Schizosaccharomyces pombe: one gene and its partner. The gene in region 1 interacts genetically with each later gene. Each region holds a gene or a part of one and is shown in the gene's direction. Other genes may lie near its edges. The genes, in order: vtc2 and pqr1.

Region 1 (5,329 bases):
ATAAAGAGGACAAATCACATAAACTTAAAAGACTTTAAGTTAAGATTTGTAGTAGGCTGAAATGATTAGAAATAGAAGATAAACCAGGAATAGACGAAATAGAAAGCCAACAAGTAAAGTCAGTTTTAAATAGGGATAATAACCATTAAGACATGTGAATACCCAATTCCCCCGTGGATATACTTGATGCAAGCGAAGCCTATAAAACTGAGTAAAAAAAGATGCTATAAAGCGCAAATCATAATGCTGAAAGTACGGTAGTGACCAACACAAACAATGCCTTGCCGATGAAGGGGAGAGAAAAATGAATAAGTCCACAAATATACTATGTGTGATACCCCGAAGAAAAGGGCGCTGATAGGGAGGAAGCGAGTAGGTAGCTGAGCTCGGATCAAATTCTAAACGTATAGCAGAATACATCAAGTTTCCAACAGCCAAATGAAAGAGAGTCTTTATAAACCTAGGATAAGTCTTTTTAAGTGCTCGTGAAGAATCTATTTGGATCCTAGTCTGGCATTCAGGCAAGAGTAGATCTGCCAATGGGTACCATTGAGCAGAAAATACTTCTGATTCTTGAAGTCTCAACGACGGCATATAGGGAAGAATAAATACTGTGGAAGTATAAAGTTAGAAACCTAAAAAAAACCGTTTGTTAAATAAATATAATACATACCAAAGGAAGATAAAAGAAGTAACGGAAATTGACCCCAATTAGAAGTGATTACACGTTCATCCAAAGCACCAACAAAATGTGCATGCTCTTTTCGTAAATCAATACCAACTTCCTCTAATGTTTCACGGTGTGCAGTTTGAATGTCTGATTTATCAGTCAAAGAGCGTGTGCCTCCTGGCAAGGCCATATGACCAGACCATCGATCGGTGTCTCGAAATGAGCGTTGAATGAGAAGTACATAAGGAACAGAAGTAATGGGAATACATTGAGGCCATTTTGGGTTAGAAAAATCTTGGGATTCTTTAAAAGCTATTATAACAGCTACCGAAGCCCTTCTTGGAGGAGCATTTGGTGTTACTCTCGGACAATATTCAGAAAGTAATTGTAGACCGGTTAATAAGTCCAATTCCAACTCCATATATTGTAAGCTCAATTTCCAAAAGAATTATTTTGTATTCCACTTATAAAGGAGTAAATCTTATTAGTGCTGTTGCTTCAGCTCCTAATAATTAAAGAAAGAAAAAAAAGTAAAAAATGGATAAATAGAAATTTGGATAATAAAATCTATTGTAAGGATTACCTCAACGGAAGTTTACAACAATGTAGTCGGAAGTACAGATGAAGCACCCAGCATCCAATTCTAGATGATGCAAATTCGTCACTGAAGTTAGAATCGGCTTGTATCTATTCAAAAAAAAACTTTTGTTTGAAAGGAATGTAAAGCTATTTCATAGTATATTAAAACGGAAGGCTTATGTACAACACTCAATAATGGAGTGGTCACTTCGTTTTCTTTCCACTTGTTTACTAAAATTATTTGTCAATTGAGTAAGAACAGATAGATAATTGTAAAGTTTTAATTGAGTTGCAATAACATCTTTCATATTGTTGACAAAATAAGAAATACGAATATGTGGACATTGCTTAGCGATGTTTATCATATCGTTATTATAGTAATACGTAATGGAATAACAAAAATCGTTTTAACGAGATCACTTCGCTGCTCTAATTAAAAATTTAAAGGGCGCTGCGAGAAAATACTTTACTACAACACCACATCTTTTTTTTTGGATCAAGAAAGCAATGCGTTTCAGTGACAGTATAGAAGCTGGAATTTATGAACCATGGAGAGATAAATATATGAATTATCCAGAGTTAAAACATTTGCTTAAAACTGAAGAGGAAGCACCCTCATGGGGTGAGAATGATGAGTCTAAGTTTGTTTCTGTTATGGATGCCCAACTGGAAAAGGTAAGTAGCAAGCGAATATGTCTTAAATTTTGTATTACAAGGATTGTAATTAGGAGCTTAAATTAATAAGTAGCCTGAAATTATCACACATTTTATTTTGTTGCTCCTGTAGAATGCTGTTATCTAAAATTCCATGCTTGGTATAAATCCTTGTATTTTAAGAAAAATAAGCTTATCACGCTTAACGTTTGCTAACATTTTCTGTAGGTTTATGCATTTCATCTCGAAATTTTGAAAGAATTAAATGAATCAGTGGATTGGGTAAAATCTAAAGTTTCTGCTTCTCAGGAACCTGATGGTCCTCCCATTTCTAAGGAAGAAGCCATCAAGTTACTAGAACGATTGGATTCTTGTACTGAAACGGTTAAGAAGTTGGAGAAGTACACTCGTCTTAACTTAACAGGTTTCTTTAAAATCGTTAAGAAGCATGATAAGCTTTATCCCGGCTATTCTCTTCGTCCTGTGTTTCAGGTTCGTCTTCGCGCTTGTCCTTTAGGCAGTGTCCAATTTAATCCTCTTTTAGCTGAAATTTTCTCTCTTTATAATACTTTACGTGATGGTCTTTCAGCACCAAGTAACTCCGTGCAAGTGAAACCGAAGCATGAGCACAATGTTGATTACAATTCTAGTATGTATCGTCGTCGTACGTTTCGTTTTTGGGTCCATCCTGATAATGTGATGGAAGTAAAAACATACATTATGAGGCATCTTCCTGTTCTTTATTACTCTGGAAAGCAAGGATTTGACAAAGACCAAAATGGTGTATCTGGAATTTTGGATCCTATATCAACTTGCTTGTATTTAGATAATTCCAACTTTGATTTATATTCTCAAAATTTGGAACGATCAGAACAGGCTTATTCTTTGCGACTTCATTGGTATGGAAAGTTAACTCCCAAAACCGATATTATCGTTGAACGAATGGTACGTCAAGGAAGTACTCTTTCACATAGTGAAGACCGGTTCACTATCCGCGAGAAGAAGGTTAGAGAGCTTCTAAGTGGGAGATATGATTTTAGGAAGGTTGAGGATGATCACTCGACAACTGCTTCTGATCAGAAGAAGAAACTAATTGAAGATGTTGAACAGCTAATCGTTGACAATCACTTGCAGCCTGTTCTCCGTTCTGTTTACACTCGTACCGCATTTCAGATTCCAGGCGATGATGAGGTTCGTATCAATCTTGACTCAGACTGGGTTATGATTCGTGAAGACTCTTTGGACATCGAACGTCCTTGTAGAGACCCCGAAGATTGGCATCGTCACGATATTGACGATGCTGATTTCCCATATAAGCACTTAAGAAAAGGAGAGTATTCTCGTTTCCCTTATAGTGTCCTAGAAATCCGTGAATGTGTTAGATATGATGAAGACGAACCTCTTTGGATCTCTGAATTGCGTAATTCTCATTTAATTTCTGAAATTGATGGTTTTTCGAAATATGAGCATGGTGTTGCAATTCTTTTTGAAAAATACGTATCTCTTTTACCAATGTGGGTATTTTCAATGGATCAAGATATTCGAAAAGATCTTCAAGAGGTGTACTCCCATCCCGAGGGATCTGCGGGCTCTCGAAATGTTTACATTAAACGTAGGAATCAAAGAGTTTTAAAGCAGAATATGACACCCGAACCTAGTCAACCCTCACCTTTGGTCAATCGTTTAAAGGCCAATGAAATGCACCCTGTTTCAGAAGAGCCCGAAGATAATAGAGAGGTGTATCGAAATGAGCACGGAGACCATTTCAACTTCAGAAGCATACCTGGTTTGCTGAAGCCATCTACTTATGGATCGTTTAAGCATCATGGTAAAACGTTTGTTACTCCACCCCATATCAAGAAACCAGAGATTCCGCTTAGAGTCAGTGGTCCGATTAAGGTTGAGGCCAAAGTTTGGCTTGCAAATGAGCGTACGTTTTTGAAGTGGCTTCATGTCGTGGTCTTGCTTGGTTCTCTTGCTCTTGCATTATATAATAGTGCTGGAGAAAGACTTGGTCAGGCTTTTGGAGTAGTTTATACTCTTTTAGCTATTTTCATTGGGTTCTATGCTTGGAAGCTTCATGCCAAGCGTTCTCAAATGATCAAGTCCCGCAGTCCTGCGCCAATGACTGATTATTGGGGCCCATTGATTGTAGGAACAGCTTTGGCTATTTCTCTTATTGTCAACATGTCATTTGCACTTAAGGATGCTGTTTATCAAAATCTCATTGAACCTGATCGTTTGCTTGTTAAATTGTTTACTTGAGAAGTTTCGATATCATTCAACATGGGATTTTTCCAACTTTTATTACACGTTGGATTTACTATTTAAATGCAATAAATTTTTAGAAAGCTAGAAGATAACATTTCAGTAAATTCTTGATTTAGATGCAATGTGAAGTTGAAAATTGCAATAAGATTGAAAACTTCATTTAGAGCAGGGCTCTTGGGTTATTATATTGGTTAATTGGTTTGGGGATATATGTTATCGGTTTTTACTAAAATTTGCACGGGTATTGCAAGTTTTTACGTGTCGATTTACTTTTTTTGCAAGGATTAAGAAAAGCTGGATTTGACCATATATTCATTACATTACAACACTGGGGTATATTAATACTGGGATATTAACGTCGGACATCCATTATAATTTCTATGGTTTAATTAATTTAATAGCAAAGAATAAATAATCAATTATTAATTATCCGCTAAGCATTGGATCTAATTGAGTAGAGTAAAATAACTAAAAACCCCTAAAATCCGTCTGATTAGGGAACTGATGGTTATCGGTTATTAGGTATAAAAATAACAATATCTACTGTAAATAGGAGAAACGAACGTTTTTAAAAGAGAGTTATTTCACATCTGTATTAATGAATTTTTTAATACAAATGCTGACTACATGATGCTTTTCATCTTTGGGAGGATAAAAAAACAAAAAGTGAACGAAGGAAGAAAAGAGGGACTTGAGGTATATACTACTGGTTATTGGCCAGATAAAACGATGGACACCGACTTCAAGACGAAATATCCAAAAAAAAAAAGAAAGGTTTTACCGAGATGCAAATGATTGTAAACAAAAAATTCAAAACACCTAGAAAAAAATAAATAATCCAACGAAAATGAAATCCGTGGTTTTTCGAAATTTTTAAATTTGATTATTTCCCTAACCCGCCAAAAGAGAAAAAGAGAGAAAAAATCTATTTTTTGAAAGGCCAGCAGGATTATGAACGATTCGCGAATTAGTCGTCAAAGAAACCTTCATCGTGAAAAGCTTTCCAAAGACGACTAGCTTTGTTCACATCGACACGACTAGCACGTTGAGCATCTGTTTTCCTAAAGCTTAGGCCTTGAGTACGGCGATTGTGCCACTCAGCAAAGATTCTACGCTTATTGTCAAGATAAACGAGACAAGGCAATCGAAGTGTTG
Region 2 (4,874 bases), 2.8 Mb from region 1:
CTTCTTAATTAAGAAAACATGGTTCTCATGAAAACTTATATTGTTATTTAAGGTCTTGCTGCTATATATGCATTAGCAAAATGCACATTTCCAAAAAATGAAGTTAAAATTATCAGTTTACAAAAGACATTGAACTAAAGATCAAATTTTTCCACAACCGAATTAAAATGTAAGATTGTGTTTTTTAGAAGAAGCCAATGCGCTAATAATAATGCCATGCTTGCATTGCTTAAAAACAAACGAACTTCTTGCCTTCATGTAGCAAGGCTATTATCACGAATTTTCATGTTAATTTCGCTATGAATGCTTGGTCTTTTCTGAGTTAATCAATACTATTTAGCTAAGGTTTCGCTCATATAGAATACGAAAATTTCGCATTTATTAATGCAAATTTCCTCGATGTTTTTAATATATTGTGTTGCTAATCTGACTATATAACACTGCCTCTTCAAGGGACAAATAGTTTTAACAAAATTTGTTTACATTATTGAGTCAAGCAATTACGACCCGATGTTATAAGCATTACGCAGATTTCTTTTACAAAAGGGAGGTCTCTTTCATTTACCCCAAGCTTAGCATTACAAAATCATGTGCAAATGAGAAGACTACTTTTAGGGAAAATAAAAATCTAAACTTGATTGGAAAGCGAAAGTTTAAATCCTAAATTGTTTGAGGTTGACGTGTTAGTTTTTCACCGTAATAAGTAAATAGCATTGTATAATGAATAAAAGAAAAATTTTGATAGTTTAACAATTGCTGCTATTCATATTTTAATAGAATCTCAAAATTCATACTAATCGACTTTCTTATCCTTCTATATTCTTCAATATTTCAAACTCGTTTTAAGTCTCTCCTATAGCTTGGGATTATTCAATGAAATTGTAATTGTCGTCCTTTCCTTTACATTGTGAATACTAAAAAATTGCTTCTTCCAGAATTGTTTTATTGACTCACGGATTTGCAACATGTCCTTCTCCTCTTTTTTTTTTTTTTTTCTTTTTTTTTCTAATCTGTAAAAAAACCAAAATTTTACAATCTCGATAATCCTTTTAATGTCTATAGTCATCAAACACGTTTATCTACTTACTCAATACGATAATGTACAATAATTCCATACGAAACTTGCCCTTATCTGTTTTAGTTTTTTGTGGCACACCGTTAACTAATCGTGAATAAAATGGTTATTACAGTCATAGTCCGGTTTAATCGGATCAATCAAATATAATTAGATACCTACTTATTATCATATACATACAAAATTAAAAACAATACAAAAAAGAGGAAAACAAAGAGGCTCAACTTCTTACCGACTATCCTTTATCTCTCTTTTTTTTTTATTTTTTTTTATTTTTTCTCTTTTGGCACAGTGCTACAGAACATTTGTTCAACAACCCAACTCTGTACGTTTCACACATTGTCAGCAAATTGTTGACAATCAGCACAAGCCTCATTCTATAAAGCTAAGGAAGATTTCGTACCACTGCTGGTCTTCCAATTGCCCCTGCTTCCTTTCCTTTTACTGTAAGGCTTACCGGAAGGCCGTTTACTAATAACATTGCGAACCCGAGTGCGGTTGGGTAGTATTACCTATACCGCAAGTTCCTCCGCTCTTTTTATGACGTCAGGGGGAAATGCTTTGGTTTGCCACCTTGCGTCGTCTAACGCGGTGCAATATAAGGATGCGAAAGGACTGCAAGGATTTTCACCTGTCATGAACCAACAAGGATTTTGACGATTAGTACAGTGTTAAAACTTTTGAAATAGTATCGAAAATTCATTTACTATATGTATAAGTATTAAGGAGTTACGCATCTCTTTACAATTTTAAACACTCACGTACCTTTGGTTGAATCAAGCCAGGCAGGTCTCCGTTTGCGAACGACGGTTTCGGTTGATTCGAAACGTGGTATTAGAAAATCATTTTATTTATTTTCATTCCCATTCCATTTATCTATTCTATCTAATTTCGTCCCATTGTAGCTTGTTGTTTTATCACAAGCAGCTTTTAGGTCTTTGGGCTGTTACTTTTTTCTTCACTTCATTCCATTACTAATATATATATATTTTAATCAAAACGTACGCAATTCAACTCTGCGAAACTCTATCTTGCAAGCTTTCTTTCTCCATCTGCTTGTAATAAAGAAAATACTTAACTCCGATACTTCGATTGCAAAGGTCGGAGCACTCATTTTTATAAAAACCACAAAGCTTTCTCCTTCTTGGGCTTTGGTTTTTTATTCTGTAGTTTTACCGCCTTTCAAATATTTTGATTTCAATCTTTTGTAAAGGTTTCATCCTCTTTCATTTTCATTGAAAAAAAGTCCTTCCGATATGAAATTTGGACACGATTTTAAAAGGGCTCTCGAAAACGATATGCCCCCTGGTTGGGGCGAGGCTGCCATTCAGTACAAGGCCTTAAAAAAATGTATTAAAAGGTTCGTTTTTGAGCTGTCTTCCTTGGGTCTAAGTGCTGAGACCATCAGTAAATTGATGGCTCCGACTACCGTGGATCCCCAACAAGCTATTACGCTTAGTTACTCCCTTGGCAAAGAGGGACACATTGTTGTCCCCAAAATTATTATCAACGTAAATTTTGATAAATTGAAAACTGATAAGTTCGCTGCTTCAATGTTCAAGCAGTTGAATGCATCAAATATGATTACAACCGTCAGGAGTAATTATGCCTCAAATGTTCCTTCTACTCCTTCGGATTCTACTCAGCAGCCCCCTACCAATACGTTACCAAGTGTGTCCGCATCATCTCAGAGCGTAGAGACTTGTGAAACGGTTGATGAAGATATCGATACTCAAACTATGAGTTCTGACATGTCCGAAGTTCAAAGTATGGAAATATCGTTGAACTGTGACCACGAGTTTTTTGAAAAATTAACTTCGGAGTTGCAAAGTGTTGAAGGACTACAGCGTGAACAGCGTAAAATTCTTTTTAACGCAATTGATATCCTGAGTCATGAAATATCTCTTATAGCTTCCCCTAATTCCAAAAAGAAATACAAATCTCTTTATTGCTGGAGAAAAATTTTCGAAATTTATATGGATTCCGATATATTTATTTCTTGCAAGGAAGCTGATCAGAGTCATGAACGCACTCCCGAGCTCGCTGAGCGCCATTTGAAATGGTTTGACGATCAGGTCAGGCTAGCAAAATGTCTTCCCTCTTCCTCAAAGCATCGTGATCGTATTTTGTATGCTAAGTTTCTTGAACTTAATGAAAGTTTGTTGAAAGTTGCTTCTTTTCAGCAAATGAATAAGTTAGCCGTTACGAAGATCATGAAAAAGTTTGATAAGCGGACATCCTTAACCGCTCAACCTCTATTTTTTCAAGTTATCGAATCAGACCCTCTTCTTTTGGTCGACAATGCTTCTAAAGCTATATGCTTTTCACTCTCTTCTAAGCTATTCTCGATTATTCCTCAACTGAGGGATTTTGAATGCGCTATATGCTCTAACGTTGCTTACAAGCCGGTGAGATTAGGTTGTTCCCATGTTTTTTGTTTGCATTGCCTTATCATTCTTCAGAAACAGAAAGTTGATTTCTGTCCGTTGTGTCGTGCCAAAGAAGTTATGAAAGCCGATTCTCGCAATATTGATCACGCCTTGATGAATTTTATGAAAACATATTTCCCAAGAGAGATTAAGGAAAAGTTTGAAGAAAATGAGAACGATACGTTTACTCCTTCTTCAATTTCTGTTGTATCAGGTCAGAACAATTGTGTGATAATGTAGATAGACGACGGATTTGTTTCCGCTAAATTCCCAACCCTCTCTTAAAGGCTCAGGACTATTTTTTACTCACTATATTTGATTATCTGTTTTTTTATGTTTTCCTTGCCTAATTTGCATACTAACTTTCTATTTTTCTTTCCTCACCTAACTTTTATTGCTGTAAATAGCATTTTCGTGTGTTTCTTTGTTATAAACGTTTGCTTATAATTCTCGGTTTTTTCTTATATTTAGCTTTTTTAAATGCTTGTACATAATACTTGCTCATCACATACCATTAATCTTTACTAAACCGAACATATTTTTTAAAAATCAACATAGACAATAGACATTTATAGAATTTTAGCTTACAAAAGCTGTGTAATGTTTTAGGAAATCGTATTCGTAACTTAAATTTACCAAATTTGAACTCATTATTCATATTATTCGGAAGTTCTTGTAGTCAACCTCTGATGTATTTGTAAACTTAACGTAACTTTCAGCAACTAAACATTGATAGTCCGAAAAACAATGCTTTTATCTCAATTCCTAAGTTACCCACTTACAGTGTTTAATATGTCTCTCTTCACAGATTTTAATGAATAATTGTGCTATGGGTAGTAGTTTTTGTGTTTGGAACACTAGCAAAAGCTGTTTTTTGCTTTCTAAAACCGACTTTACCGGAGCATCAAGAAGTCCTTTGCCACGATTTCACTGAAAACTCCGAATGAACAAGATTTAAGATATTTGACAACGTTTAAATCCGAGTATTTCGCGGAGTAATTTAAGGCTGTTTACAACTATTACTAACTCAACCTAATATCGGAGTAGTTTTGAGCGTTGTACTTTTTTGTTATAAGTGGAAGTAATTATACTTCACCAGCTACTAAATATTCTAAGTGGTAATGGAATATATAGTGTCATTACTTAAAGGTCACATAGACTGAAAAAAGGAAACGTTTGGATTTTTTTGATGAATATATTCAACTATACTACTCTGATTTTTCGCCGTTTAAGCTCTACCTTCAAAGCTTCAAACAAAGCCTCTATAGAGTGGAAAAAGCAGAACATAGCGGTCAAACGAAAAATTGGAGGCTATTGGAATCCAAAAAAGAAACTTCCTTTAGAATCTATGGACGAAATTCGGCGTCTAA

The links.
Region 2: of vtc2 (region 1) and pqr1, a mutation in one rescues a mutant of the other (synthetic rescue), as found in Schizosaccharomyces pombe (one study listed by BioGRID).

What each region holds. Positions count from the first base shown.
Region 1 is NC_003424.3:5,246,000-5,251,328, forward strand, and holds vtc2 (polyphosphate synthetase), read left to right. Parts: upstream 1-1,720; 5' UTR 1,721-1,756; coding exon 1,757-1,924; intron 1,925-2,131; coding exon 2,132-4,168; 3' UTR 4,169-4,639; downstream 4,640-5,329. Other genes in the region: SPOM_SPAC14C4.10C (Nudix family hydrolase), read right to left, coding at 40-611, 674-1,091; clr6 L-associated factor 1 Laf1, read right to left, coding at 5,142-5,329. UniProt on the Schizosaccharomyces pombe protein: Accessory subunit of the vacuolar transporter chaperone (VTC) complex.
Region 2 is NC_003424.3:2,420,661-2,425,534, reverse strand, and holds pqr1 (ubiquitin-protein ligase E3), read left to right. Parts: upstream 1-1,708; 5' UTR 1,709-2,331; coding exon 2,332-3,744; 3' UTR 3,745-4,089; downstream 4,090-4,874. Other genes in the region: protein Rrg9, read left to right, coding at 4,694-4,874.